Stegostoma tigrinum: one gene and its partners. The protein of the gene in region 2 purifies or fractionates together with the protein of the main gene of each other region. This does not show direct contact. Links are inferred from orthologs where the notes say so. Each region holds a gene or a part of one and is shown on either strand. Other genes may lie near its edges.

Region 1 (7,348 bases), on a different chromosome or scaffold from region 2:
TCTCATATTCTGATTCAAAAGCCTACAGCCTGATGGTCTAAACATGGAGCTCACCAGTTTCAATCTCCCCAAACCCCAGCCTCATCCCATGTCCAACACTCCCTCTCATCCCTACCTCCTTGACCTGACATATCCTGTCCATCTTTTCTCCCACCTATCTCACTGACCAATCTCCACCACTGCCTATCATCTGCACTCACCTATCACCATCCCACCTACCTTCTTCAGCCCCATCCCTCCTCCATTTATTTGAGATCCCTCTCCATTTCTGAAGAAGAGTCCTGACTCAAAACATAACTTTCTTGCTCCTCCAGCTCCAGTGTTGTTTCTGACTCCAGCATCTGCAGTTCTTGCTATCTCTTCATCATGGCACACTACATCACCACACATTTTAAAAATGGATGTGTATTTACGTTGCACATTTCACAACAGACAGACAACACAGAGCACTCTATAGTTATTTTAAGTATTTTTTGAATAAAAAGGGTATTGTAATGGAGGGCAAGCAGCAACCAAATGCATGTCATAAGCCTCTATAAACAGCGATGTCATGATGCTCAGGTGTTTTTTTTGTGATTTTTGGTGACAGGTCAACTCGCTTCCTCATTTTGAATGTGCGGCACAATCTTTTACATACATCTGAATAGGTAGATGGGGCCTCAGTTTGATATTTCATCTGAAAGATGGCACCTCCAGCAATGTTGTGCTCAGAGGACTGCACTGGAGTGTAAGAAAAGCCCTGCTGACACTCAAGTCTTGGGATTAGACTTGAACATGGACATTTGACACTCAGAGGCAGGATCTTACAAACTGAACCAAAGCCAGCATTCAAAAACTTAATTCATACATGTATTTCTGGCTACAAAAATCCTATTTCAAATTGTTATTTTTTGTGTTATGTTTTCTATTACTAATCCATTGTAAATTCTTGTGCCGACTTTTGTAACTGTCCACACCATCACACCAGTGGTAGTGTTTGAGTGATTCAGTTCTGTATCTTCTAGTTTCTCAATCTTTAATGCAGACAGTGTTCCAAAGGGGTTCCTTTTCTACTTTCCAATTGGTAATGTTTTCATTTTTAAAACTATAAACATAAAATCAAGGTGTTATACAAATGGACATAAAACAGCTCCCAACCCACTGTCTGGATTACATTCCATAGAGATTTCGTTGTGGAATCTTCAAACTTTTCTGTTCTCTCCAAAAAAAAAATGCAATCTAACCAGCTGGAGTTTCCAGTAGTTCACCTTTCGTTACTGGATTTCACTCATCTCTATCTCCAATCATTGCATCTATATTCAAACTTTCTCTGAAAACTACTACTTGACATCACTGGCACAAAGCTACAGCACAGTGACCAACTTTATTTTTAATTTTAAAACATTTACGTAAATAGCTGGCACTAACTTCCTAACCCACACTTACATCATACAACAGCTGATCACTAAAGTGTCTATTTTCCAATCTCCCAACTAACTCATTTGTCACTACCATTACAGCCTTAAAACTGCAATGAAGTAGTAATTAATGTTTTAAAAAGTAAGTCACAATTTTCATTAATCTAGCACCTATAAAATGCCCACAGTACTACAAAATCATTGTGTGCTTCAATCCAGATAGATATCTTTAAACTCACAAGTTGTGTACAAGATATAATAAAGCATTTACTGAACTCTTACTACCTTAAATAAATATTTACATGCATATAGTACTTCAGATTGCAAGTAATTCATATCATTTAGACAGTCTTCAATTTGTAGTCTCTTTTCAAATGCACAAGTTACAGCAAAGCTTCTTTATTAAAACAAAAACAGGTTGTTCAAAAATATTCAGTGTGTTTCCCCAGCTTCTTCAAATTATGCAGACATATTAAAATTCCCTCCCCATGCAAAACTGCCAACTCATTCAGGGGTCTGAATCCAGAGGGCAGCAGCACTTTGGTCGAGCTAATCTTAGTGTTCATTCAGGATGGGATGAGCTAATTTACTGACCAGGGATCCTGGCCAACATGACTGAATCCAAAGTGTGTCCTTTTCTAAGTGACTGAGCAATTACGTGACCATATAATTTCAATCCTACAGTTAGACAAATTGAACGTCATTGAATGAGCAAGAAGAGCAATTCTGAATACTGACATTTAAAAGTACAAAATCCACAATGGTCGCGAAATCTGTTGCTCAACATTTGACTATGCAGCAGTGTCTAACTGCTGAAAATTGGGCAAACGGCAGAGGCCAAAAACGCAGCTTTGGCTGTGAACGAGCGCCTCATACAGACAAACAATACTGACAGTGCAACACAGAAGGATTAGGCAACTGTGGTGGCTGCATTCTCCAAAAAGTTGTGGTAGTCAACATAATGGACTAGGAAGCAATCACAACTCGATATGGTGCATCAGGCAGAGACTCAGTTTAACTGAGTAATCACTTCAAACCGGGCAGCAAAGCAAATCTACAGTCCACGCACAGACTAAATAATCAAACGTTGGTGCAAGTCATGTTGGAGGTTACATCGTGTCATTTTGTGAGTGGTCGAAAGAACCCCACATCTTTCCCCGGCCTCCAGCTGGCTGAGGCATGGAGGGAGAGGGGAGGGATCTAAACCCGATCTGCTGCCTCACTGCTCCGACACCGGAGACGTGTGGAGATGCTCCATTCCAACCCCAGGGACAGGGAGGGCCGCTGTCGGGGCCTTGGCCTGAAGCTGTCAACCCCCACTCCTCAGTCCGGGCCTGGCAGTTAAGTGGGAAAATCAGGGACCTCTCCAGTCGGTCGTGTCCCAGGTCAGGTAATAAGGACGGCCCACCAATGTTAGGCGGGAGGCCTTCAGGCCCCGAACCCGAGCAGGCTGCAAGAAGCTCGCCGAAGATGAAGCCGTTACTCACAATGTTTTCCGCCATGACACCCCCCGGGAGCGGCTCCTCGGCCTTTTACCGAAATTTGCCTTCCAACTCCTCCGCGTGTCACCACAAAACCCGTCCGATGCTGCACAGCGCAAGGTAACACTCCGTTCCGAGGTATATACGTTCCCCCTTCTGTACAACGCAGTACAACGTTGACAATGCAAAAACAAAACTTAGCAATTTACGTACAAACTACCACACGCACAGTAATTAGTTATATTTGCGCAACCTATCCTAAAATATTCCAGCAAGTTTACTTCCATTTCGTTTCCCCATAAAATTATAGAACAGTTAACAGTTTTTTGAACTTTGATACCACATATCCTAATGAGATGGACAAGTTAACATTAATTTTCTTAAACTTTGCACACCCGTTAAAAAGCAGATCCGTCGGAACATTCACCAATTGGACAACTTTCTGTGCATGATGTAGTAGAAGTGCAGTGTAGTTAACAAGATGTGCTTTTATCAAGTAAGTCCAATATTAGTCAATGTGGGACCAAAGCTTAAAACCGTGTTACAAATACCCAAGATAACAAAGTGTGAGGCTGGATGAACACAGCAGGCCAAGCAGCATCTCAGGACCACAAAAGCTGACGTTTTGGGCCTAGACCCTTCATCAGAGAGGGGGACGGAGGGAGGGTTCTGGAATAAATAGGGAGAGGGGGGAGGCAGACCGAAGATGGAGAAAAGAAGATAAGTAGAGAGGAGAGTATAGGTGGGGAGGTGACAGGTCAGTCCAGGGAAGACGGACAGGTCAGGGAGGTGGGATGAGGTTAGTAGGTAGGAAATGGAGGTGCAGCTTGAGGTGGGAGGAAGGGATGGGTGAGAGGAAGAACAGGTTAGGGAGGCAGAGACAGGCTTGGGGGGGAGGGGACGAACTGGGCTGGTTTTGGGATGCGGTGGGGGAAGGGGAGATTTTGAAGCTGGTGAAGTCCACATTGATACCATTGGGCTGCAGGGTTCCCAAGCAGAATATGAGTTGCTGTTCCTGAAACCTTCAGGTGGCATCATTGTGGCACTGCAGGAGATCCATGATGGACATATCGTCTAAAGAATGGGAGGGGGAGTTGAAATGGTTCACGACTGGGAGGTGCAGTTGTTTATTGCGAACCGAGCGGAGGTGTCGGCAAAGCGGTCCCCAAGCGTCCGCTTGGTTTCCCCAATGTAGAGGAAGCCACACTGGGTACAATGGATACAGTATACTACATTGGCAGATGTGCAGGTGAACCTCTGCTTAATATGGAAAGTCATCTTGGGGCCTGGGATGCGGGTGAGGTAGGAGGTGTGGGGGCAAGTGTAGCACTTCCTGCGGTTGCAGGGGAAGGTGCCGGGTGTGGTGGGGTTGGAGGGGAGTGTGGACCGAACAAGGGAGTGACAGAGAGAGTGATCTCTCCGGAAGGCAGACAAGGGTGGGGATGGGAAAATGTCTTGGGGTCGAATTGTAGATGGCGGAAGTAACATTATCGCAACATTTTAATAGGGAATTTACAAAATAATCATGTATGTATCATTCCTAGAATTGTGTGTAAATTTACCAAAACAGGCCATTCAGATTTATTCCAATGTTTTAACCCTGTACATGCTATGTCTTATCCTACTTCAGCTCACTGCATCAACATATCATCTATTCCCGTTCTGCTCCTGTGGAGTAAGTGGCCAACTATACCTTTATTCCACTGAGTGTGTCTGTAAGGAGTAATGCCCATCATGGTGTCAGATGATACGGAATTGGGCTCTAAATGCATTGGTTTCCCAGGGATGTCTTCTTTACCATTTTCTTATATATCGTTAATGTAAAGGTGGTTGATGTTAACTGACATGGAAGCAGATTACCTTCTATCAATAACCCAGATTTAATCTCAAAACATGTTGGCAAGTGGTGACCAGATCCACAGAACTCATGGCATATGTAAAGAAGATGCTGCCTGATCATAGTATATAAGAGATTACTGCAGATTAGAGATCTTCACAAAGAGGAGAAAATAAAATGTTTTCAGTTGCCATAACTCTTCAAGAAGAAAAATACTCAGCAGTATAAAGCTGAGTTTTATTTCTTGAAGATAGAGAACTTTCCTGGTGCCAGACCACTTGAATGTGACTCAGTTCAATTCATTAATAGGGAGCTACCAATTTGCTGGTAAGATAAATAACACTGAGAGAAAGGCCTTCTCTTGGGCTACTGGACCACATTCAGTGCCTGTGACCAGATCCTGTATTAGGTCAACTAGGACGAATGGTTTAGTTGATACCAGATTGCCATTGACCTCAAAAATATCAGATAAAGACCAAATCAGTGTATTGTTGTACGTGATCAATAGCAGTATTGACACTATTTTTATCAGGTCAGGCACAGAAAACACACTGTTAAATATGATGATGTGATCTAGTTCTTTGATTCTTATTCTAGTTAAAGACACAATCCCATCAAAGGGCAAAATTTATCTGGTAGAACAAAGAGCTAGGGAAGTCTATTGATTCTTCTATAAATAATTTATATCAGCCAGGTGCTAACTGCCAATAGGGAAGATTGAGAGATGAGCTCATGAAGGGACTCTATCAGTGTGCAAGTGTTTGATGGAGCTCTTTTGAGAAATTTCAATTTAATCAGAATCCCTGCAGCGTGGAAACAGGCTATTCGGACCATCAAGTCTACCCTCCAAAAAGCAACCCAGCCAGCCAGACAGCATTTCCCATGGTTAATTCACCTAGCCTGCACACTGGGGGCAATCTAGCACAGCCAGTCCACTTGAACTGTACAGGTTTGGACTGTGGGATGCAACTGGAGCCACCTAGAGGAAACCCCTGCAGACATGGGGGCAAATGTTCAAACTCTACACAAGCAGTTGCCCAAGGGTGGGGAATTGAACCTGGGTCCCTGGTGCTGTGAGGCAGCAGTGCTAATCACTGAGCCATTGTGCTCTCCTCTAAAATTCTGTTTTATATGAGGAAAGGCTGTGCAGTTCACCAGATTGTACTTTGCAAATAAAGCTGAGATTTTATTCTTGAAGACAGAGAACTTTCCTGGTGCCAGACCACTTGAATGTCACTCAGTTCAATTCATTAATAGGGAGCTACCAATTTGCTGGTAAGATAAATAACACTGAGAGAAAGGAGCACCATTTTCTGTCATTGTTTCTTGTCTGTGCTATTAGGATAGCTTCACATTGTCAACAATCCCACCCAACCAGCAATGCTGAGTATCATTTTAGGCTGAGTTGTGAAAAAGGGTCACTGGACCTGAAATGCTAACTCTGGTTTCTCTCCACAGATAATGTCAGATTTGTTGAGATTTTCCAGCGATTTCTGCTTTTGTTGCCAATTTAGGCTGGTTCGATAAAGTAACAATGAGGATTGTCTATTTGCTGGACAGAAGTTGAAAAACACACTGCCCCATTCTACAGTTATCAAAGAAGTAAATGCTGCCAAGTCTCAAGACATATTCTTCTGGGTGGTGGGGTGGTCTGGTGGTTCCACTGGCATGTATATCATGTTTAGTAGAAAATAAATTGGTATTAAAGTGGATACAGAGGAAAGCATAGCCATTCTTTCTGATTCACCACTATGGTCGAAGCTTAAATTCTCCACCTGTGTCCAACTAAACCTCAAGGTGTAGGAGGCATTACAATAACAGTGCGAGGGCAGATGCAGGTTATCCTTTTCTAGAATGGAATGGAGATTATTGATACTGTGTACATCATTCCCAAACAGCATTGTTCTTTATAAAACGGAGCTGTGCAGGTAACATAGAAACTTTTTTATTCCCATGCTGCAGCTGAATTTAAATAAATTCATTTCTCGACAAGAAATTGACTCCTTAATCTGCAAGCCATTTTTCATTGAAGAACCAACGTCCATAGGACCACAGGAGGATGTGGCAGATTTCTCACTTACTTTGAGGAAAGGTAGGAGAAGCAGAGAATAGGATTCACCAAAAGTAACAGTGACCTGCAGCAAAGTTACCTCCATTTGCTCTTACAGGAATGAATGGCAGAGAATGAGACTGACATAAAAGCAGACTATCCAACTGATGAAAAGGTCTGGAACTTTCTACACTGTTTGACCATAAAATTCATGACAATTTAGCCTCTGCTTTCTTTTTTGAGCCACCTCATGTCTGTTGGAAGAGGTGAGGAAGAAATGAATTTATCTGCTTTTCCAATGACCTTGCTGATTACATGCAACAAACAACTGACAGCAGCCAGCAAAAAAAGTTATCCAAGGAGGATGAAATATTTAACTTTAACTTGGATTCAGCCTTTGTTGAATATTCAGTTATTACTAATCGACAAAAGAAGTCAGTTGAAGCCTGAAAGTGAGTCTCACTAGCAAGTCATGGACAGTTGAGAAATACTTTATAAAAGCTTAAATCTGATTATCAAATTGAGATTAATGTATTAAAATAAAGCAAACAGTTCTGAAGAAGACTCATGCCAGATTCTGTTT
Region 2 (7,798 bases):
GGGTGGGATGCTCTTTGGACAGCTGATGTGGATTCAATGGGCTGAATGGCCTGCTTCCATACTGTAGGAATTCTCAAAGCAAATAGGGAAAACCTTTTTCAGAGCACGATAGTGGGCCAATGAAACTAGATATTTTTGGATAGATTGAATTTTAATTTAGATATCTTTTCCTGTTTAGGGAGTGGAATAATGAATTTTCTCCAGCATTAATTTGTATAGTGTTTGTGTATACGGGACCAGTTTATGTCCAGATGAGTCAGAAAAACTGAAGATAGAATATCTTTTTTGGCTCAGTATCAGTATTTGTCCAATTGTGCTTTCGTGAAGTGCCTTGGGAGTTTTTATTATGCTCACTGTGATATAAATGCAATGTCTTGCTGACCATCTAGTTTCTATATTTTTACCACAAGCCATACTTTCAGTCATCATTCAGCAGATTATGGTTCATTTCCAGCTTTACTATGCAAGGTGGAGAGTCATCTGAATTGTAGTCACGGCTGAATTAAATCAGCTATTAAGTTATTCATATTGGGTTTTTTTAAAGTTTTGTTTGAGACATTTTTACAGTCTGATTCATTTAAATGAATAAATACTTAAGGTTTACTCATTTTATTCACGTACAATGTGACCAATAATAGACCCCTTAACATTGATAACAATGAAAGAGAACATGAAGTTTCAATTAAGGGAAATTGTATCACAGTGAATAGTTTAACATCACGTAGAGAGATATGATTTACATTTGGGGATATTTAATCTTCCACTCACCTTAGTTCAATGATCCATTCAAAATGTGCACTTTCATGGGCCACCAGTCACATTCCAGTAAGTTGCTTAACCTGCTATTTTGTCAGTGTGTGCATGTGCTGAATCTTGCTCAACCATTTGAGCGTGGAATGCAAGCTAATAACGTCATGTCTATCCTCCTCCAATGCCCACCCACTCGCCTTACGAAGCAGAGATCCTTGGATTTAATTTTGAGTTTTACCTTCCAGCCAAGGAATGTTTGACTGCCTGTCTCATTACTCTTCTTACTGGCTAGTCATGATAACACTGGATTGCCTTGGTGTCTTCATCAACTTTATAAAAATTAGCAAAGGGTCACAGGAGATAAACTTCCAAATTCTAAAAAGGAAACAACAACCTAATAGACTAAGTCATAATATTGCGACCTATGTCAACTTACCGTTTAGTTACTCCAGACCTAGCTTTCACAACATTTCAATGGAGCTGTCAGAACCATGTTCCTTCACGTCTACAGCTACATCAATTCCTGAGTAGTGCTGGTGAAGGCTGCCAGTAGGTGTGAAGTTTTCTAGGCTGAAACTGCAGGAATTTGTAACAGATAATGGAAATAATAATTGTGTCAAATAGTATTTACACAACACACTAACCAAGAAAAGTCTCCAAGGGTGTTTGTTTTGTAGGATTTAGGATTTGATTAGTTTTGTCCTTCTAGAAAGCAATTGTTTTTGCCAGTTTTTGTTTTAAAATTGGGTTGATGTCTCCTATGCTTTAACAGAAAACATGTCTAGACTATTGGCTATTTCAGGTCAGTTAATAGAACATAACAAGTACTGTTATTTGAGCCGAGACAAAATATCTATTTTATTGTTTATTAATAATGACATTCTTGAAAATAGTGTTTTAACAAGAATTTGTATTTACATACTGCAATTAAGATCGTCAAATTCCTGAGGTACCTCCATAGAAACATGAGTAAAATTTGAGACCAATCACTGGAAATTTTAGGATGGTCAAAAATGTAGGTTTTAAGGAATGCTTTAAAGGAAAAAAAAATTAAGGAAGGAATTCTAGGGTGATGGTAACTCAGAAATTATGGATATGTTTAGAAGGTCAAGTTTGAAAAGTGCAGGTACCTTAGACAGTCATAGAGTTGGAAGAGATGACACAGAGAGGGAGAGGTGAGGCCGTGGAGTTATTTGAAAACAAGGATGAAATATTTTAAATTAAGGAATTGCTTAAATCTGAAACAACTTTGGTCAGTGAGCACAGTGGTGATGGATGAACAGGATTTAGTCTGAGCTTAGACACCGGCAGCAGAGATTTGGGTGATTTCAAGCTTACTGAGGGTAATAAGAAGCTGCCCAGGAATGCATTTGAATAATTATAGATGTTATACAGTTGGTTAGAAAGGATTTCAGCAGCAGATGATTTAAGGGATGTTAACCAATGATGTTGCAATGTGGAAGCAAGCACACTTAGTGATTGGGCAGATAGGTAGTTGGAAACTCACCTTGGATTGATGCTACATTGCAAAGAGTCGGGTTCAGCTTCTGAGGGTTGCCATGGAGACTGAATCAGTGGCTAGGAAATGGAGCATGGAATGTGTGTGCGGTTGGTGTGGGGATCTGAATGTAATGATTTTGGTCATCCTGATATAGAATTTGAGGAAATGTCTGCTCATTTCCTGAGAAGAAATTTCTGTTGGATCAACAATCTGATCATTTAGAGAGTGTGGAGGATTGAGAAATGTGAGTAGTTTATCATCAGTATATACGTGGAAATCGAGAGTGTTTCCTGATCATGTCACTGAGGAGAGACGTAGAGGAGAAATAGGTAGGGGTCAAAGGTAACAGTTCAAAAGAAGATGGTTATTGTCAGGTTAAAATTAAATAGATGAGGATGAAACTGGGAAAGTTTTCTATTAAAGTGAGCCAACAGTGAAGAGGCATTGGAAGAACTTCTTATGGTCATTCAAAATTATAGGGTGCAGACAAATTTAGAAGAATAAAAATATATTTTACTGTCACTCACAAATAAGATGTCATTTATAACTTTGAGATGAACTATTTCAATTAGGCAGCCATAGAAACATAATTTGGGTGGATTCAAATATGAAGTTTTGAGAAATATGAATACAGATTAATTGACAAAAGAATGTTAGAGGATCTTGGAAATATAGTTTGAAAATGGAGTGGCAGTTTGTAAGGATGAAGTTCAGGAATGAAGGATTGTTTTTAGGTCAGGTAGAATAGTACCTGAGAAGACAGAGCCATTAATAAAGTCAACTAACATGGAATCATAGAAAGGAAGTTGGTCAACAGTTTAGTGGAAAAGTGACCAGGAAGTAGGAGGTGGGAATAATGGACAAGATGAACTTATAAGGGCAGTTGGGGATATAGTATCAGTCATTTGTGGCTTAGTGTGTAGTATTGTCATCCTCTGAATCAGGCATTATGATTTCAAGTCCTGCTGCAGGACTTAAGCACAAAAATCAAGTACTAAACTGTCAGAGATGCCCTTCACAGATTTCTCAGAACAATCGCATGGCAGTGAAGATGTTAATCATGGTTTCCCTGCTAATACTTAGTCACGAATTAACTTAAGAACATTCGTTATCAAATCGCTGTTTGTGGCAGACTGCTGTGCACAAATAGGCAGTCATAGTTTCTAAATTCCAAAACTACACAAGTAACTAATTTGTTGTAAAGTACTTTGAGACAGCCTGAGAATTTGAAATCGTAAAAGTGTTGTCAGAGGTGCAATTGATGGATGCAAGCCGGAGGGGATTAAGATAGTTTGCAGTGAACAAGAGGAGCTGTTGTTTATGTTTATTTATTAGAATTATCCTGGTGAAATAAGCAGTTTTGGCTTAGGAGAGCAAGATCTAGCAGCAGCAGCATCATTCAGGTAAGATCTCACAATGAATACCTAAACTAGTTGTCTGCCATGTCTACTCAAGTCTGTTACCCTTTGCTCATCGCCGTTAAGTAGTAGGGTGAGGCTCATGCCGCTAATGGCAATTGTAGAATATCAAGCCTGGAGGTGTAGGTGCAGTTGACTTGTTTTAATTGAAGAACAGAGGCTAAGTAGTGGGATTTTGAAAGCACAGCTGTTGAGTGTAAATTGAAGAAGCTTTCTGTGAGTATATACAAGAGGCAGGAACGTTGGAAATGGGATGCAAGTGGAGAGCAATACAAACAAGTAACTGGCATGAGAATATTGAGGCCGTGTAAGATTAATTGCAAGATCAATGGATGGGTGCAAATGTGGTTTGGGGAGTTTACATGGAGGGAAATGTTAAGCTAAGACGGCAATGAACTCAGAAGGCAAATTTAACCGGAATGGAGAATTTCAAAACGTGATTCAAAAGTCATTGTTTAATCACGACTAAAAAAAAACTCTCAGATAGAAGTCTGAACATTAATCGCTTGGAAAACTACTTTGCAAACATTAGCGTCATATCATTCTATATCTAACATGTCTAACTTCAAAGAACATCTTTTCCACCCACGTATTTCAACTATTGTCAGTATTTTTGTGCGTTGGCAACGCAATCTTGTCTGCGCTCAGCCTCCTACATCAAGACCCATCTTCAGTGTTAAGGATGGCAGGAAGGGGAGGAAACCTCCAGAGACACGTGTTGCGACGGGTATTAAACGTAAAATAAGCGGATACGAGTTGTAGAATATGTGTAGAGTGTTGTAGAATTCTAGAACTCCCGGGCGAAGGTTCCGGCATCCCAGGCTAAAGTTCTGGAATCACGGCCCAGCTCTCATGACCAATCGCGTGCTGCACTGAATTGAACTTGCAACCTCTCAACCCAGGCGCCACAACTCCATCAACTGTTAAGGTCGGCGCCGGGCGATTCCGAGAACTACCGAAGAGCGTCGGTTGTTTCCGTAACCGGCCCACTATCTGTGCTGGAATGCATCGAAATCCAAAACCCGATGCGTAAAAATACCTCGTACCATTTTTAAATATTGGTGCAATTTCAGAACTCAACTACTGGTTGGGCCGCATTTTTTTTTGCGTTTCGTGGTTGCGACTTTACCCAAAAATCATCTACTTCCGCACGGGCCTGGAACGCAAGATCCAAGATGGCGGCGCCTGGCAATGAAGAGGAGGAACTAACGCAAGAACAAACAGAGAAACTGTTGCAGTTTCAGGTAAATTCATCAAACTTAACAGAATTCCATAGAGGGCGACGTGAGTCGTCATTCTCAGGTACTTTTTAATTCGTTAATTGAATTAATTTAGTCCTGCTGAAGGGCTGAAGCTTCTGCACCTGTGGCATTTTCTGTATTCACAACATTTTCTGGTAACCCTCCATCTGGCATAATTCACTTAGAGCAAGGAAAAAAAACTGTCAACTACAATTCCATTTACAAAATTCTAAACAGTTAAAACCCTAATAGTGTTAAAAATTGAATTAGCTGGATCTATATTTTATGCTGAATAAACATTTGGTGATTATCTTAACTGAAACCATTTTAACTTTAACAAAAAGAGATATTGCTGGAAAACTCCAGCTGGCCTGACAGCAGCTGTGGAGCATTTGGAACATTTTAACTTTTATCCTTTTTGCTTTTGAAGCAATGTGACTGTGTCGTGAAATGTTCACTTATGAAATAAGCTTGTGTTTTGCAGGACTGATGTATGCTAAGCTTAGTGTAGAGTATTTAATTTGTGATTTTATTAAGTGTGTGGCAAACTATCTGGAACTTGTTAAAACTTTGTAAATGTTAGGGGTCTGTGAAATTCTATCCCTTGGAAAAGAAGAACATTACATTAAATGAAACAATAACTTAAGAATTACATCAATTAGTTGAAAGTTGAAAAGGCTGAACTCATCTTAATGAGCAAGTATTTCTCTGAATTTTCAACAATTTTTTAAAAGATTTTCAAGCCAGACACTGTAACCGTATGGTTTTACATTTGTATCCTGTATGTGTAGTTCAGGTGATATATAAAGTCTTGCATTAGATCTGATATTGCAAAAGGTGAGATTCTTGTACTGCCAGATAAGCATTTTGCAAGGCAAGAATGGATGAAATTGAATGCATCGCTAGCTATCAGGAAGTTTCCTCAAATTGTTTGTTCTTGCTTCAGCCACGAGATAGGTCATAGAGTGGTTGCAGCACAGTCTCATACCTTCTTTGAAAGAGTGGGTGGTGTTGTTGAGTGGAGGAAGAGACAGAGAATGAAATGACAAATCAGAATTTTTTTGTAGAGATAGTAGGAACTGCTGATGCTGGAGAATCTGAGATAACATGGTGTAGAGCTGGATGAACACAGCAGGCCAAGCAGGAAAGCTGACGTTTCAGGTCTGCATCCTTCTTCAGAAATGGGGGAGGGGAAGGGGTTTCCGAAATGAATAGGGAGAGAGGGGGAGGCGGATAGAAGATGGATGAAGGAGAAAATAGGTGGAGAGGAGATAGACAGGTCAAAGGGGTGGGTTTGGAGCCAGTGAAGGTGAATGTAGGTGGGGAGTTAGGGGATGGGTTGGTCCAGGGAGGACAGACAGGTCAAGGAGGCAGGATGAGGTTAGTGGGTAGGAGATGGGGGTGGGCCTTGAGATGGGAGGAATGGCTAGCGAGGTGGGGAGTAGCTAGGCTGGTTTTGGGATGCAGTCGGGGGAGGGTGATTTTGAAGCTTGTGCAGTCCACATTCATACCCTTAGCCTCCAGGGTTCGCAAAATTTTTTGTGTTGGCCCTAAGGTACAAATTACATTTTAAGTTGTAGAGGCAATTTAGTAACAACTTGATGGATGGATATTACAAATCCCCTTAGAATCAGTCATAGAGTTGTCCAGCCTGGAAACTTTTTCAAACAGGAACTTGTAGGACTTGAACCGTGATATATTGGCCCAGAGGTAAGACACTACCACTTCACCGTAGGAACTCTCAAGTTGTTTGTATAGGAACATTGATGTAGAAAAATGCCCCAAGGCACTGAACGACAATTTTTTTTTACAACATGGATAACTGCAGGGGAGACATGTGGAAGAGGGGTTCGTGACCAAAAACTTGGTCGAAAACTTAATTTTGAAGGAGGAGGAAACCCAAGCGGACTTATGTAGGAATTTTAGATGTTAGGGGCTTGACAGCTAAAAGAATGATCCTAGTGGTGGAACAATTAAAAGTGGACATGCAATAGGCTAAAACCTCGATTGTGGAAATCTTGGATGCTTGTGTGAATGGAAAAGCTTATGGAGATGGGGTGAGATGAGACCATGGAGGGTTTTTAAAGCAAGGGTTTATTTTTAACATGGTTAAGCTGTTGCTGATGTACTCTGCTGCTTTCTGCAACCAAAATATTGATAGGCAGTCTAGCTTTGGATGAGATTATTAGGGTGGAACAGAGGTGTCCATCAAGAGGAACATTGTCTTAGCTTGACTATATCTCAAGTACAGATGAGAGTCATCTGCATATTTACTTGAAGCAGACGTGGATGTGTATATCATCTTGGGAAATGGAATGGCTATGTGATAGAAAACTCATTGGAGTCAAACACAATTGCAAAGTTGTGCATAATCTTCCTCTATTTTCAAATTTGGCAGGTACGGAGATGGAAAAGGTTGTTGCAGAAGAAAGATTCTGGTGGTAACAAACTTCAGTGATCGCAATACTTAGGCATGGGAAATACCTGCTTGTTCAGTACTGAATGTTAGCTGATTGAATCAATTATCGCTGAACTGCCACACTCAATGTTTAATTAGAAACGTCATTTTGAGTTAAAAACTGAAAGAACTGCAGATCCTGTAAGTCAGGAATGAAAACAGAAGACCTCTGTTCAGGCTCTATCCTATCATTTACTCCCTATCCCATTCCCCTTCCTATTTTCTGTATATAAACCAACATTTTTCCAGCTACCATCGGTTCTGAGGATAGTCACTGGATCCGAAACATTACCTCTGTTTTTTTTTTCTTCACAGATGCTGCCAGACTGCTGAGCTTTTCCAGCAACTTCAGTTTTTGTATGTCATTTTGAATATTATTTGAATACTTAAGTATTTAAACCAGCTCCTCAACTGATCTCTAAACATGAGT
Region 3 (7,418 bases), on a different chromosome or scaffold from region 2:
TTATTTTCCAAGGTTCTATAGATTCAGGATCAGTTCCTGTGGATTGGAGGGTGGCAAATGTTGTCCCACTTTTCAAGAAAGGAGGGAGAGAGAAAACAGGAAATTACAGACCGGTTAGCCGGACGTCAGTGGTGGGAAAGGTGCTGGAGTCAATTATAAAAGATGAAATTACAACTCATTTGGATAGCAGTAACAGAATAAGTCAGAGTCAGCATGGATTTACGAAGGGGAAATCATGCTTGACTAATCTTCTGGAATTTTTTGAGGATGTATCTATGAAGATGGATAAGGGAGAGCCAGTGGATGTCGTGTACCTGGACTTTCAGAAAGCCTTTGATAAAGTCCCGCATAGGAGATTGGTGAACAAAATTAGGGCACATGGTATTGGGGGCAAAATAGAGTTGGATTGAACATTGGCTGGCTGACAGGAAGCAAAGAGGAGTGATAAACGGGTCCCTTTCGGAATGGCAGGCAGTGACCAGTGGCATTCCACAAGGTTCAGTGCTGGGACCGCAGCTGTTTACGATATACATTAATGATATACACGAAGGCATTAGAAGTAATATTAGCAAATTTGTTGATGACACAAAGTTGGGTGGCAGTGTGAAATGTGAGGAGGATGTTATGAGAATACAGGGTGACTTGGACAGGCTAGGTGAGTGGACGGATGCATGGCAGATGCAGTTTAATTTGGATAAATGTGCGGTTATAAACTTTGGTGGCAAGAACCGGAAGGCAGATTACCTAACTTGACTCCATTGAGATGGTAAAGGGGAAGCAGAACGAGATCTAGGTGTTCTTGTGCATCAGTCAATGAAAGCAAGCATGCAGGTACAGCAGGCAGTGAAGAAAGCTAATAGCATGCTGGCCTTCATAACAAGAGGAATTGAGTATAGGAGCAAAGAGGTCCTTCTGCAGCTCTACAGGGCCCTGGTGAGACCGCACCTGGAGTATTGTGTGCAGTTTTGGTCTCCCAATTTGAGGAAGGACATTCTTGCTATTAACGGAGGGCAGCATAGGTTCACGAGGTCAATTCCGAGAATGGCGGGACTATCATATGTTGAAAGATTGGAGCGACTGGGCTTGCATACACTTGAGTTTAGGAGGATGAGAGGGGATCTGATTGAGACGTGGAAGATTACTAAGGGATTGGACACTGTGGAGGCAGGGAGCATGTTTCCGCTGATGGGTGAGTCCAGGACTAGAGGACGCAGTTTAAAAATAAGGGGTAGGCCATTTAGAACAAGAGTTGAGGAAAAACTTCTTCACCCAGACAGTGGTGGATATATGGAATGCTCTGCCCCAGAAGGCAGTGGAGGCCAACTCTCTGGACGCTTTCAAGAAAGAGATGGATAGAGCTCTTAAAGATAGTGGAATCAAGGGTTACGGGGGTAAGGCAGGAACAGGATACTGATTGTGGATGATCAGCCATGATCATAATGAATGGTGGTGCTGGCTCGAAGGGCCGAATGGCCTACTCCAGCACCTATTGTCTATTGTCTAACCATTGCGGCACCGAGCTGCTGCTTTCATACAGAGGTGAGAAATTTCTTCACTGATAATGTGGCAGAATTTTCTATGATTTGAGACTGTGGAGTCACTGAATGTATTTAAGGCAAAGAAGTTTCTTCGAGACAATAAGTGACAAAGGAAATAGGAAGGGACAATTGAACAGGCTTGCTGGGTCAGATATAACCACTCAAGCTCCTATTTCAACATTTCCCAGGGCAGAATCTGTTTAGTCAGGCCCAAAAACTAGTGAATGCACCACAATAACAGGTGGATCTGAAATGGCCTAGCTTGAAACTAAAATTGGTGGCTCGAGACCACCCAGTGGCATGGTGCTCATATGGGCAGCACGGTGGCTCAGTGGTTAGCACTGCTGCCTCACGGTGCCAGGGAACCAGGTTCGATTCCAACATCGGGCGACTGTCTGTGCGGAGTTTGCACGTTCTCCCCGTGTCTGCGTGGGGTTTCCTCCGGGCGCTCCAGCTCCCTCCCACAGGTCCAAAGACGTGCAGTTTAGGGTGGATTGGCCGTGCTAAATTGCCCATAGTGCCTGGGGAAGTTTAGGTGACATAAGTTAGACATGGGAGATGCAGGGCAGGGGATTGGGTCTAGGTGGGATGCTCTTTGGAGGGGCAGTGTGGACTTGTTGGCCTGAATGGTCTGTTTCCACACTGTAGGGATCCTAAGATTCTTACACATTCTGACCTTTTTCTCAGGAATTGGGTTATTCACAGGCAATATTACATAGGGCTGATTCCTCGAGCCACAGTAGAGGGGGGTGGGGGGATTTGGTGAAAGGGAGGATTTGGGGGAAAAAGGGGAAACAAAAAAGAGACAGAGAGAGAGAGGGAAAGAAAGAGACAGACAGACACAGAGAGAGAGAGAGAGAGAGAGAGAGAGAGAGAGAGAGAGAGAGAGAGAGAGAGAGAGAGAGAGAGAGAGAGAGAGAGAGAGAGAGAGAGAGAGAAAAAGGGGGAGCCAGGAACTACAATCCCCAGCATGCTCCGCGGGGTCAACGCGCATACTCACGCGCGGTGCAGCAGCGCACGGCCCTTTCGCGCAGCCGCACTACTCCAGTGGACGGCTCTCCGAGGCAATTTTGAAAAAAAAGTGAAAGAAAAAAAATGGGAAGATTAAAGGCTCCGGGAGGCAGAAACACCCGGCCGCAGTGCGGGAACGTGGAGTCTAAAGAAGACGACGAGCGAACCTCCGCACCAACCTGCAGGAGACAAACAATAAGAAAACAATCCGAGCATCTCACCTTCTCCTGCAGCCGTGAGGCTGGGCCTAGCGCCTAACCACTAGGCCGCGGCTTCTCTAAATTTCTTTAACAGGCTCGCTCGCTCTGTGTGACTTTGCAAATTGCGGTGGAAAGGCTACATGGTTTTAATTGAAGTGCATCACCGTTCCGCCGCCTCCCAGGCCCCCGAGTGAAAGGATGTTTTGAAAAGACGGCTGCTGGTGAGTCGCCCAAACACGCCGGGCTGCGACCCACCTTGAACGGGGATTGGCCAACGTCGCTGCCGGCCAACCGGATTGACGGGGACCGCGGCCAATCGGTGCCGGCCCCGCCCCCCACGGTCCGCGAGTGACGGGCACGCGGCCCAATTGAATGAGGCCCCACCCCCGCAGCGTCTGATTGACCGATGTCTAGATGAGTCAAATGGGGTCCAGCCTCCTCTCCTCCTGATCGACGGTGGTCTTGTCCAATGCGATGAGGACCCACCCACATGGGCATCGAAATGCTGGAGTCTTGACCAATCGCATGTGGTCCCACCTTATCAGCCGCGATCGACATGGAAGCAGCCAATCGAGCGGTTGTCTTCCCAGACGGAGAACGCCACTGGACTCCCGCGCATACCAACCCGTTTATCGACGTCCTCCCCTGCCAATGGGAAGATGGAAGGGTAACAGTCACCGCCGATTATGCCGCCCATTTGTAATTGACGTTTCGCTCGCCCAACCATCTCCAAGCCCCTCCGTAATGATTGGCAATTCTTCCTGATCGACTGATAAGCCGGCCAATCGGCTTTTGGAACATTTGCAGTCCCGCCCATCCAGCTCAATAATAGGACCTTCTACCAATGGATGGGCAGAGACATGGGCTGGCCAGTGACAATGGTCACCCTGTTGTGGAGTGGGGTAGAAGTTTGGAAGGGCCGAATGGCCATCTGCATGAACCAGCAGGTGGTCCACACCCAGCTATTTTCAGTGCAGCAAAACCTCTGACCTCGCTCGGCTAGATCATCGATTCCCAGGCTCTGATCACAGAGACAAGGCCTTTCTTCACGTAATTGGGACCTCCAGCTCCAGTTGGCGACGGTGAGTCTGGGCACCGAGTGGGGCAGCTGGAGCAGTCAAACCAATCATGGATTTCCTCAACCAAACCTCAAGCACGTGCTTAATTCTTCAAACTACGCCAATTTTCTGGCTTAGCCTCACGTTTGTAACGATAAATGCAACCAACGTCATCAAAGACGCCAAGATAACAAGGTGTGGAGCTGGATGAACACAGCAGGCCAAGCAGCATCTTAGGAGCAGGAGAGCTGATGTTTCATCAGAGACCCTCCATCCCCCTCTCTGAGAAGGGTCTAGGCCTGAAACGTCAGCTTTTGTGCTCCTAAGATGCTGCTTGGCCTGCTGTGTTCATCCAGCTCCACACTTTGTTATCTCAGATTCTCCAGCATCTGCAGTTCCCATAATCTCTGATACACTCCTGACCTGTGCCTTGGAGAAGGTTGACAGACTTTGGGGAATCAGGAAGTGTGTTACTCACCGCAGTAACACTTCTGGCCTGCTGTTGTAGCCATTGTGTTTATGTAGTCAGTCCAGTTGAGTTTCTGATCAATCATAGTGGGGGATTCAGTGTTGGAAACACCATTGAATGTCAAGGGACAATTGTCTGTTATTGGTGATGGTCATAGCCTGGCATTTGGCTGGCATGAACGTTACTTGCCACTTGTCAGCCCAAGCCTGGATATTGTCCAAATCTTGTTGGATTTGAACATGGCCTGCTTCAGTACCTGAGGAGTCACGAGTGGTGCTGAACATTGTGCAATCATCGGCGAACATCCCCACTTCTGACCTTATGATGGAGGGAAGGCCGTTGATGAAACAGCTGAAGATGGTTGGGCTGAGGACACTACCCTGAGGAACTCCTGCAGAGGTGTCCTGGAGCTGAGATGACTGACCTCCCACAACCACGACCATCTTCCTATGTGTCACCTAAGACTCCAAACACTGGAGAGTTTGCCCCTGATACCCATTGATTCCAGTTCTAGGGCTCCTTGATGCCACACTCAGTCGAATGCAGCCTTGATGTCAAGGGCTGTCACTCTCACCTCACCTCTGCGATTCAGCTCTTTGGTCCATGTTTGAACCGAGGATGTAATGGGGTCAGAAGCTGAGTGGCCCTGGCGAAACCCAAACTGGATGTCACTGAGCAGGTTACTGCTGAGCATGTACTGTTTGATAGCGCTGTTACTGACACCTTCCATCACTTTCATGATGATCGAGACTGATGGGGCAGTAAAGGGCCAGGCTGGATTGGTCCTGCTCTTTGTGTCCAGGACATACTTGGGCAATTTTCCACATTGCCAGGTAGATGCCAGGGTTGTAGCTGCACTGGAACAGCTTGGGTAGGGGAGCGGCAAGTTCTGGAGCACAAGTCTTCAGTCCTATTGCCGGAATGCTCTCCGGGCCTGTGGCCTTTGCAGTATCCAGTGTCTCCAACCGTTTCTTGACATCGCGTGGAGTGAATCGAATTGGCTGAAGACTGGTATCCGTGACACTGGGGACCACTGCAGGAGGCCGAGATAGATCGGCACTTCTGGCTGAAGATTGCTGCGAAAGCTCCAGCCTTACTTTTTGCACTGATGTGCTGGGCTCTTCCATCATTGAGGACGGGGATATTTGCAGAGCCCCATCCCTCGGTGAGTTGTTTAATTGACCCCCACCATTCGCCACTGGATGTGGCAGGACTGCAGAGCTTAGACCTGATCTGTTGGCTGTGGGATCGCTAGGCTGTGTCTCTCACTTGCTGCTTTCGCTGTTTGGTGTGCAAGTAGTCCTGTCTGGTGGCTTCACCAGATTGATCCCTCACCTTCAGGTCTGCCTGGTGCTGCTCCTGGCATACCCTCCTGCACTCTCCTTTGAACCAGGGTCGATCCCCTGGCTTGATGGTAATGGTTGGGTGGGGGATACACCAGGTTGTGAGGTTACAGATTGTGCAGGAGTACAATTCTGCTGCTGTTGATGGCCCACAGCGTCTCAGGGATGCCGAGTCCTGATTTGCGAGATCTGTGTGAAGTCTGTCCCATTGAGCACGGGGATAGTGCCACACACACAATGGAGGTTATTCTCAATGTGAAGGCGGGACTCTGTCTCCACAAGGACTGTGAGATGGTCACTCTTACCGATACTGTCATGGGCAGATGCCTCTGCAGCTGGCAGATTGGTAAGGATGAGGTCAAATATGTGTTTCCCCTCTTGTTGGTTCCCTCACCACCTGCTGCAGACCCAGCCTAGCAGCTGTGTCCTTTAGGACCCGACCAGCCCGATCAGTAGGACAGCTGCCGAGCCTCTCTTGGTGGTGGACAGTGAAGTCCCCCACCCAGAGTACATTTTGTGCCCTTGCCATCCTCAGTGCTTCCTCTAAGTGATATTCAACATGGAGGGCGTACCGATTCATCAACTGGGGGAGGACGGTATGTGGTAACCAGCAGGAGGTTCCCTTGCCCGTGTTAAACCTGAAGCCATGAGACTTCATGTCGTCCGGAGTCAATGTCGAGGACTCCCAGAGCAACTGCCTCCCAACTGTATCCCACTGTGCGGCCCCCTCTGCTGGGTCTGTTCTGCCGGGTGGCGGACAGGACATACCCAGGGATGGTGATGGTGGTGTCTGGGACAGTGTCTGTAAGGTGTGATTCTGTGAATGTGACTATGTCAGACGGTTGCTTGACTAGTCTGTGAGACAGCCCTCCCAGTGTTGGCACTAACCCCCAGATGTTAGTGAGGAGGGCTTCGCAGGGTCGACAGGGCTGTTTCTGCCATTTTCCTTTACAGTGCCATGCCAGGTGATCCGACCAGTTTCATTTCGTTGAGACTTTGTAGCGATTGGTAGAGCTGATTGGCTTGCTTGGCCATTTCAGAGGGCAACTGGGAGTCAACCATAGTGCTGTAGGTCTGGAGTCACATGTAGGCCAGACCAGGTAAGGAGGGCAGATTCCCTTCCCTGAAGGACATCAGTGAACCAGATGGGATTTTCCGACATTCAGCCACAGATTTACGGTCTTCGGTAGCTCTTAATTGCAGATTTTGTTTTGATTGAATTCAAATTCCACCATCTGCCGTCGTGGGATTCGAACCTGGATCCCCTGAACATCACCTCGGTCTCTTGGATTAATAGTCTAGCAATAACACCACGAGGGCAGAAGATACAAAAGCTTAAATACACATACTAACAGATTCAAGGAGGGCTTTCTCCCTGCTGTTATCAGACTTCTAAGTGGACCTCCCAAAATTCAAATGTTGATCTCGCTCTTTGTGCACCTCCTCTGTAACCACTACATCGTATATCTCACCCTGATCTGTCACCCGATGATCATTGTGTGGTATGATCTGCCTGTGCTGCTCGCAAAACACAACTTTTCACTGTGCCTAGGTACAAGCGACAACAATAAATCAATCCAAATCAGATCTGATGCCCTTGGGATAAAGAATCCTGCTTCATGCCCCTTCAGCTACTCACAATAATTGAATTGAATCATTTATTGTCAAATATATTCAAACAAAATACAGTGCTCTTCACATCAGCTTAAAAAAGGGGAAGGAAACTTGGTGACCCGGTGTCTCAGTGGTTAGCGCTGCTGCTTCACGGCGCCAGGGACCTGCGTTCGATTCCACCCTCG
Region 4 (7,209 bases), on a different chromosome or scaffold from region 2:
CAGTATAGCCTAAATATTGGGCATGCTTTTGCTCTCTCTGGAGGCACAGACTTGGGTCACGACATACTGTAAGTGCAAAGGTGAGGCCCCATATCTCAGGAAGGATGTACTGCTGGCCCTGGAGAAGGTTCAGAGGACGCTCACAAGAATGGTCCCAGAAATGGAAAGCTTAACACATGAGGAACGTTTGAGGACTCTGGGACTATACTCATTGGAGTTCAGACAGATAAGGGGGGATCTAACTGAAACTTTCAGAATACTGAATGGCCCAGACAGAGTGGCAGTGTGGGGGTGGGTGGGGGAGGGGGGGGCGGGGGTGGGTGGCGGAGGATGGGCGGGGGGTCTGGGGCTGTGGGGGGTTGGGTGTGGGTGGGGTGGGGGGGGGTGGGTGTGGGTGGGGTGGGGGGGGTGGGTGTGGGTGGGGGGGGTGGGTGTGGGTGGGGTGGGGGGGGTGGGTGTGGGTGGGGTGGGGGGGGTGGGTGTGGGTGGGGTGGGGGGGGGGGTGTGGGTGGGGTGGGGGGGGTGGGTGTGGGTGGGGTGGGGGGGGGGTGGGAGGTGTAGGGGGAGTGGGGCGGGGTAGGTGGGTGTGGGTAGGTGGGTGTGGGTGGGGGGAGTGCAGACAGACGGGGTGGGTGTGTGGGTGGGGGGAGTGCAGACAGACGGGGTGGGTGTGTGGGTGGGGTGTGCAAAGAGATTGGGTGGGTGCGTGGGTGGGGGGGAGAGGGAGTGCAGACAGACAGACAGACAGGGTGGGTGGGGTGGGGGAGGACAGACAGACAGACAGGGTGGGTGGGGTGGGGGAGGACAGACAGACAGACAGGGTGGGTGGGGTGGGGGAGTACAGACAGACAGGGTGGGTGGGGTGGGGGAATACAGACAGACGGGGTGGGGGAATACAGACAGACGGGGTGGGTGGGGTGGGGGAATACAGACAGACGGGGTGGGTGGGGTGGGGGAATACAGACAGACGGGGTGGGTGGGGTGGGGGAATACAGACAGACGGGGTGGGTGGGTGGGTGGGTGGGGTGGGGGAGTACAGACAGGGTGGGTGGGGTGGGGGAGTACAGACGGACGGGGTGGGTGGGGTGGGGGAGTACAGACGGACGGGCTGGGTGGGGGAGTACAGACGGACGGGGTGGGGGGGTGGGGGGGTGGGTGGGGGAGTACAGACGGACGGGGTGGGGTGGGGTGGGTGGGGTGGGTGGGGGAGTACAGACGGACGGGGTGGGGTGGGGTGGGGTGGGGTGGGGTGGGTGGGGGAGTACAGACGGACGGGGTGGGGGAATACAGACAGACTGGGGTGGGGGAGTACAGACAGACGGGGGTGGGGGAGTACAGACAGACGGGGTGGGGGAGTACAGACAGACGGGGTGGGGGAGTACAGACAGACGGGGTGGGGGAGTACAGACAGACGGGGTGGGGGAGCAGTGAGTGAAGGGCAGAACAACAGGGCATGGTGGGGGAGTGCAGACAGACGGGGTGTGGGAGGGGGAGTGCAGACAGACAGGGTAGGATAGGGTGGGGTGGGAGCGCAGACAGACGGGGTGGGGTGGGAGCGCAGACAGACGGGGTGGGGTGCGGGGGTTGCAGACAGATGGGGTGGGGAGCAGGAGGTTGCAGACAGATGGGGTGGGGAGCAAGGGGGGTGCAGACAGATGGGGTGGGGAGCAAGGGGGGTGCAGACAGATGGGGTGGGGAGCAAGGGGGGTGCAGACAGATGGGGTGGGGAGCAAGGGGGGTGCAGACAGATGGGGTGGGGAGCAAGGGGGGTGCCGACAGACGGGGTGGGATGGGGTGGGTGAGGTGGGGGATTGCAGACATACAGGGTGGGGTAGGTGCAGTGGGGTTGCAGACATACGGGGTGTTGGGGGGAGTGCACACAGACGGTAGGGTGCAGACAGACAGGGTGTGGGGGAGGGTGCAGACAGACAGGGTGTGGGGGAGGGTGCAGACAGACGGGGCATGGGGTGGGGAGTGCAGACAGACGCGGTGTGGGGTGGGGGAGTGCCGGCAGACGGGAAGTGAGGGGGCGTGGCGTGCAAACAAACGGGGCGGGTGGGCATGGGGTGCAGACAGGCAGTTGGGGTGCAGACAGATGGAGTGGGTATGGGTGGGGTGCAGACAGACAGGGTGGGTGAGGGTGGCGTGCAGAGACACGGATCGGGTGGAGGTGGCGTGCACACAGACGGGGCAGGGGGTGGGGTGCTGACAGATGGAGTGGGTGAGGGTGGCGTGCAGGCAGGGTTCGGGTGCAGACAGACGGGGCGGGTGGGCGTGATGTGCAGACAGGCAGTTGGAGACAGATGGAGTGGTGTGGGTATAGGTGCAGATAGACGGGGCGGGTGAGGGTGGGGTGCAGATAGACGGGGCGGGTGAGGGTGGGGTGCAGATAGACAGGGCAGGTGGAGATTGTCAGACAGACATTGCGGGTGTCTGGGGGATCGTCAGACAGGCATTGCAGGTGTCTGTGGGGAGGTGTCAGGCAGACACTGGGGGCGGGTGTCAGGCAGACATTGGGGGGGGTGTCTGGGGGCGGGTGTCAGGCAGACATGGGGGGGGTGTCAGGCAGACATGGGGGGGGGTGTCTGGTGGTGGGTGTCAGGCAGACATTGGGGGGTGTCTCAGGGTGGTGTCAGTCAGACAGGGATGTAGCCAGGCCTACCGGCCATGGTGTCTGGAGCGGGGTCAGTGTAGGACCCAGACCCTTCCTTTCCTCTCCCTGGGCTCATTGGCGAACCCCGCCCCCAACGAGGCCTCCATATTCGTGCCGCGCTTGCCATTCACTGCACCGGCCCAACCGTCTCCACCTCGAATCGGGGAGAATCAACAGAAAAGTTTCCCATTGCTCAGGACTCCCTGAGCTGCCCCAACTCCCACTCCCATGTCTCGGTTACTCACAGAGGCCGCTGGAACCAGTCCCAGCGAACATCGTCCCGTGGCCCCGCCCACACGCGGTGACCACGCCCTTTCTTCCTCACCCCATCCCCAATGTTGACCACGCCTCTCGCCTTTGACCACACCCTTCCCCGCCAAGACCACCCTTCATCTAGACCCCACCCCTCACTTTGTCCCCGCCCCAACGTCATTGTCACGCTCCTGGCTCTAAAACACCTGCTCGCCCTCGCCCCACATGTTCGCTCTGACCGCGCCTCCCATTCCAGACCCCGCCCCCTCGACCTGATCCTGGAGACTGAAACATTCATTGGGACTGATACTTGTATTCACGTCGTAGTAATTTTATCTGACAATGACGTTTACACTGACTGTGTTTTCTCACTAACAGTATTTTCTACACTAATAACATTAATTACTATTAATTACAATTAATAGCATTCATCACTATAAATTACTATTAATAGTATTCATGTTCATAATTATTAGAGAGCTTGATTTAAAGAGCCATATTTGGCTAATACTAATAGTTCTATTAGTAGTAATAAGTATTTGTTTAATCCGGAACAAAAGGTCATAGTTTTAGCACAAGGTGAAACACTTTTAAAGCAGAGATGAGGAGTAATTGCTTCTCTCCAAGTCATGAATCTGGAATTCACTATCCCAGATTGAAGCGGATGCTAGCACATAGAGTAAATATAAAGAGAACATAGATTTTTAATTAGTAACAGTTTGAAAGGTTATCAAAAACAGGCAGGAAAGTGGAACTGAGGCCAAGATGAGCTCAGCCGTGACCATATTAAACAGCAGAGCAAGCTCAATCAGCTAAACGCCTTCCCCTAGTTCCTATGTGTGGTAGAACAGAACTTGACTGCTGCTGAAAAAGGAGATATATCTGTCAAAGCTTTTTCTTCTTGCTCTCAGTTCTGTTGATGATATCATTAATAAATAAAATCCAATTCAGGGAAAACGCATCATTAAAATTTATGACAGGCAAGTACTGATTGGTTGCAAGTGGACTCAGATTGTGAGAAAGTTTGGTCTGCAGATGCAGCAGTTAATGTTGACTGACAGTAAACTGTAAAACTTTGCTTACATTTTAAAGCTAGTAGGTTGGCTCCTATTGGTCAAGTTATTATCCTGAGATATGAACCAGAAAATGGCTGTTGTTATTATTCTTGGGTTGAAACAGGTTGCATGTGTACATTTCCTTCAAGTTTGCAATATGCAGGGCTCTTTGTCTTAATATATTTAACTTGTAGTATACACAAGTGCATGACATTGCTAGCCTGACTGATAATCTTAAATTGGTTATCGGCTTAATCCTTCATCCCCTCAGAATTATCCAGCAAGTGTTGTCCAGTCGCAGAATCACATCTAATGTTGGACATTGTTTTGTGAATTTCACAAGTGTGGCTGAGTGGGTACAGTCATTAATTTGCTTGTTTCATCCAGGTGGAGAGATATATTCCTTGATGCAATCCTCCAGTCTTTGAACACATGGCCTATATACCTAGCAACACACAAGCAGTAAAATTCATACACCATTATCCAGCTGTGCAATAAGCAGAGTACCCTTTTAGTGTAAATGTTATTTTCACTTTTCTTTGGTATGTTTTATGACTTCTTCTGATGAATGCAAGGTGAAATGCTCTAACAAACTGTGTCTTTTTAAACAATATTCTGTGACAATAGTTAATACAAACAACAGTAATAATTATATAGCTTTTTTATGAGTGATATTTATTCCACGTCAGTAACATTAATACTAATAGTAATAGTTATACTCACTAGGAGTACGCTCACTAGTACATACTAAGAAATTGGTACTTGTATAAACTTCAATATTGAACATGCATTAGTTAGATTGGTATTTATTCAGAGACAGGTAATGGGATAGCCCATGGTTTGAGATACAGTGAGGAGACTTCTGCAGAGAAAGATATAAGTTATGTCGGGAAGAGCTGAGAGAAGAAGTCACAACTGGGAGCACTGGCCCTAGTACATGGATCCAGTGAGACAAAAAAAATTCAACCATTGGTCATGTGGCTAGGTACGTTCCCTCTCAGAAACACACTTCAGACCTCCACTGCTACCAGAAACGCAGGAAGCAGCTAAATTGTTACCCAATTATCCCATTGCACTCACCATCCTCTTTCTTGGTAGGAATCTACAGGCCTGCTTGGTAGAGATAAAGCACTTACTGTTGTCCTAAATAAGAACTATGGTATTGCATGAAAGCAGCTAGTAGAAGTGACATTATGTAATAGAATCTATTACAGAAACTATGAGATAGACCCAGACTCATGTTGCACCTGATCGGGTTTCCCATGAAAGCCACAATGACAGCACTTTACTGGGTGGTGCTTAAGGCAATATCAATATTAATCCTTTCAGACCCTTGTACCTTTACCCAACATAAATCTGACATTGAAAACCGCCAGCATGATGAGTAATGGTGACCATGAAATTAAGGAATTGTTGTAAAATACATTGAGTTCACTAATGTCATAGAAAACGTACCGTGTGGAAAGAGGCCATTCAGCACATACTGAACTTCCAAAGTGTAGCCAACCTGGGCCAGGCCCTTTAGTCCCATGTTTATCATTACTAATCCATCCATCCTACACATCCCTATAACAGGACAGGGTTTTTTTTAGCATGGCCAGTCCATCTGCCCTGCACATCTTTGGACTTTGAGAGGAAACTGAAGTACCCAATTAAACTCACACAGACATGGGGAGAACATGCAAACTCCATGTAAACAATTACCCATGGCTGGAGATGAACCTGGGTCCCTAGTGTTGTGAGGTAGCAGCACTAACCACAGAGCTACTCTACCAACCTACATCTGTTAGATAAATATTTACTGTCCTTACCTAGTGTGGCCTTTTCATGTTTCCTATATCACAGAATTGTGATTTTACTTCTCTCTAAGATGACATCGAAAGCCATTCAGTTAAGGGTTGTTAAGGATGGTCAGATATAGGCTCTACCAATGGTACCCACATCCCACAAATTTCTTTTTTATACCCCATCCGTTTGTTGTTTTGCTTGACTCTTTTAGGTTTAACTGGCTCAAAATACCAAAACATACAATTTGTAGAACTAATAAGCTTGCTGGCCCAATGGCCTCTTGTGAACCCCATTAGGTTTTGCATGGTTTCTTTCTGCAGTTAGTACCACAATCCACCAGATGGCAATATTTATTTACATTGTAAACTACGTCCATCTCAAATCATTCACCATGCATCTCGATAGTTCTGTTAATGAATCTTTGATTGTAAAAGAATTTAGGCTGAAGAGATAATTATATTCATGCCATTTAAAACTAGATACCTATCTCTAGTAACTTGTTGCAGGTATCTGTGAAGCTGATTTAGAATGGATAACCGAGTTACGGCACTATCGTTGAGTTGAAAGATTGGAGATGCTGCAATGGTTCTCCTTAGAACTGAGAAGTTAAGTGAGATTTTAATTGAGATGTTCAAAGTTAAGTGACTTGATAGAGTAAGTAAAGACAAGCTGTTTCTACTGGCAGGAGGATTGCTGACGAAAGAAAAATAGGTTTAAGATAATTGGTGAACAAATCAGAGATGCTGTAAGAGGAGGCTATGCAATGTTGGACATGACCCTATTACTCACCTTCATCAAGTTAGAATTTTGCCCAATAGCAAATTCTGAAACTGAACTTGTCTTTTGCACTGTTCCTTTTTATTGAATTTATTTGGAAGAAATTCTGTTTTATCTTATCAACTGTAATCAGACCCGTCATTGATCTTTACATCACTCATAGCAGGATTAAGCAGAATATGTGCAGACAAAGACTGTCAAATCATTACATGACCAATTGTTAAATGCATTGTTATGACTGAGGTTGGAGGAGTGCACTCCCACTAAGGTAAAAAATGCTCTTTCTCATCACCAAGATAATAAACCAAAAACCTTATCCACATTAATAAGCACAATTTGGGATTTATTTTCGAACCAAGAGTTATTCAATTGCAACAATTGGTTAATATATTCATAGAGTAATACAGATGTATAAATATGCTTCCTATAAATATTCCCAAAACACACGGACCCAAACACTCTTCAGGAAAAGAAGGGATAAAAAAAACAAATAAATGCCTGAAGAGATTGGTTTTCTTATTAAAATAAAGTGCATTTTTGTCAATTGATTATTCTTGAAGACAAAAAGATACAGCATACGATGTTACAAAATCTATTGCATGAATACTTTTGCATATTTGGTCACATCAATGATGTTGTGTGGTTGCCCCTGAAGTCTTGCAAATATAACTTGCTCAGAAATTA

Evidence for each region.
Region 1: the proteins of faf2 (region 2) and nploc4 purify together in Homo sapiens (affinity purification with mass spectrometry; 3 studies listed by BioGRID and IntAct, with this or other methods). This does not show direct contact. The link is inferred for Stegostoma tigrinum from reciprocal best matches to the Homo sapiens genes FAF2 and NPLOC4.
Region 3: the proteins of faf2 (region 2) and setdb1b purify together in Homo sapiens (affinity purification with mass spectrometry; 3 studies listed by BioGRID and IntAct, counting the BioPlex papers as one, with this or other methods). This does not show direct contact. The link is inferred for Stegostoma tigrinum from reciprocal best matches to the Homo sapiens genes FAF2 and SETDB1.
Region 4: the proteins of faf2 (region 2) and ubac2 purify together in Homo sapiens (affinity purification with western blotting; 7 studies listed by BioGRID and IntAct, with this or other methods). This does not show direct contact. The link is inferred for Stegostoma tigrinum from reciprocal best matches to the Homo sapiens genes FAF2 and UBAC2.

What each region holds. Positions count from the first base shown.
Region 1 is NC_081375.1:23,072,289-23,079,636, reverse strand, and holds the start of nploc4 (nuclear protein localization protein 4 homolog), read right to left. Parts: upstream 3,021-7,348; 5' UTR 2,900-3,020; coding exon 2,885-2,899; exon of another isoform or gene 2,304-2,884; intron 1-2,303. UniProt on the Homo sapiens protein: The ternary complex containing UFD1, VCP and NPLOC4 binds ubiquitinated proteins and is necessary for the export of misfolded proteins from the ER to the cytoplasm, where they are degraded by the proteasome.
Region 2 is NC_081366.1:45,949,849-45,957,646, reverse strand, and holds the start of faf2 (FAS-associated factor 2), read left to right. Parts: upstream 1-4,789; 5' UTR 4,790-4,844; coding exon 4,845-4,913; intron 4,914-7,798. UniProt on the Homo sapiens protein: Plays an important role in endoplasmic reticulum-associated degradation (ERAD) that mediates ubiquitin-dependent degradation of misfolded endoplasmic reticulum proteins.
Region 3 is NC_081400.1:5,507,166-5,514,583, reverse strand, and holds the start of setdb1b (histone-lysine N-methyltransferase SETDB1-B), read right to left. Parts: upstream 3,009-7,418; 5' UTR 2,771-3,008; intron 1-2,770. UniProt on the Homo sapiens protein: Histone methyltransferase that specifically trimethylates 'Lys-9' of histone H3. H3 'Lys-9' trimethylation represents a specific tag for epigenetic transcriptional repression by recruiting HP1 (CBX1, CBX3 and/or CBX5) proteins to methylated histones.
Region 4 is NC_081359.1:17,621,654-17,628,862, forward strand, and holds the start of ubac2 (ubiquitin-associated domain-containing protein 2), read right to left. Parts: upstream 3,014-7,209; 5' UTR 2,930-3,013; coding exon 2,899-2,929; intron 1-2,898. UniProt on the Homo sapiens protein: Restricts trafficking of FAF2 from the endoplasmic reticulum to lipid droplets.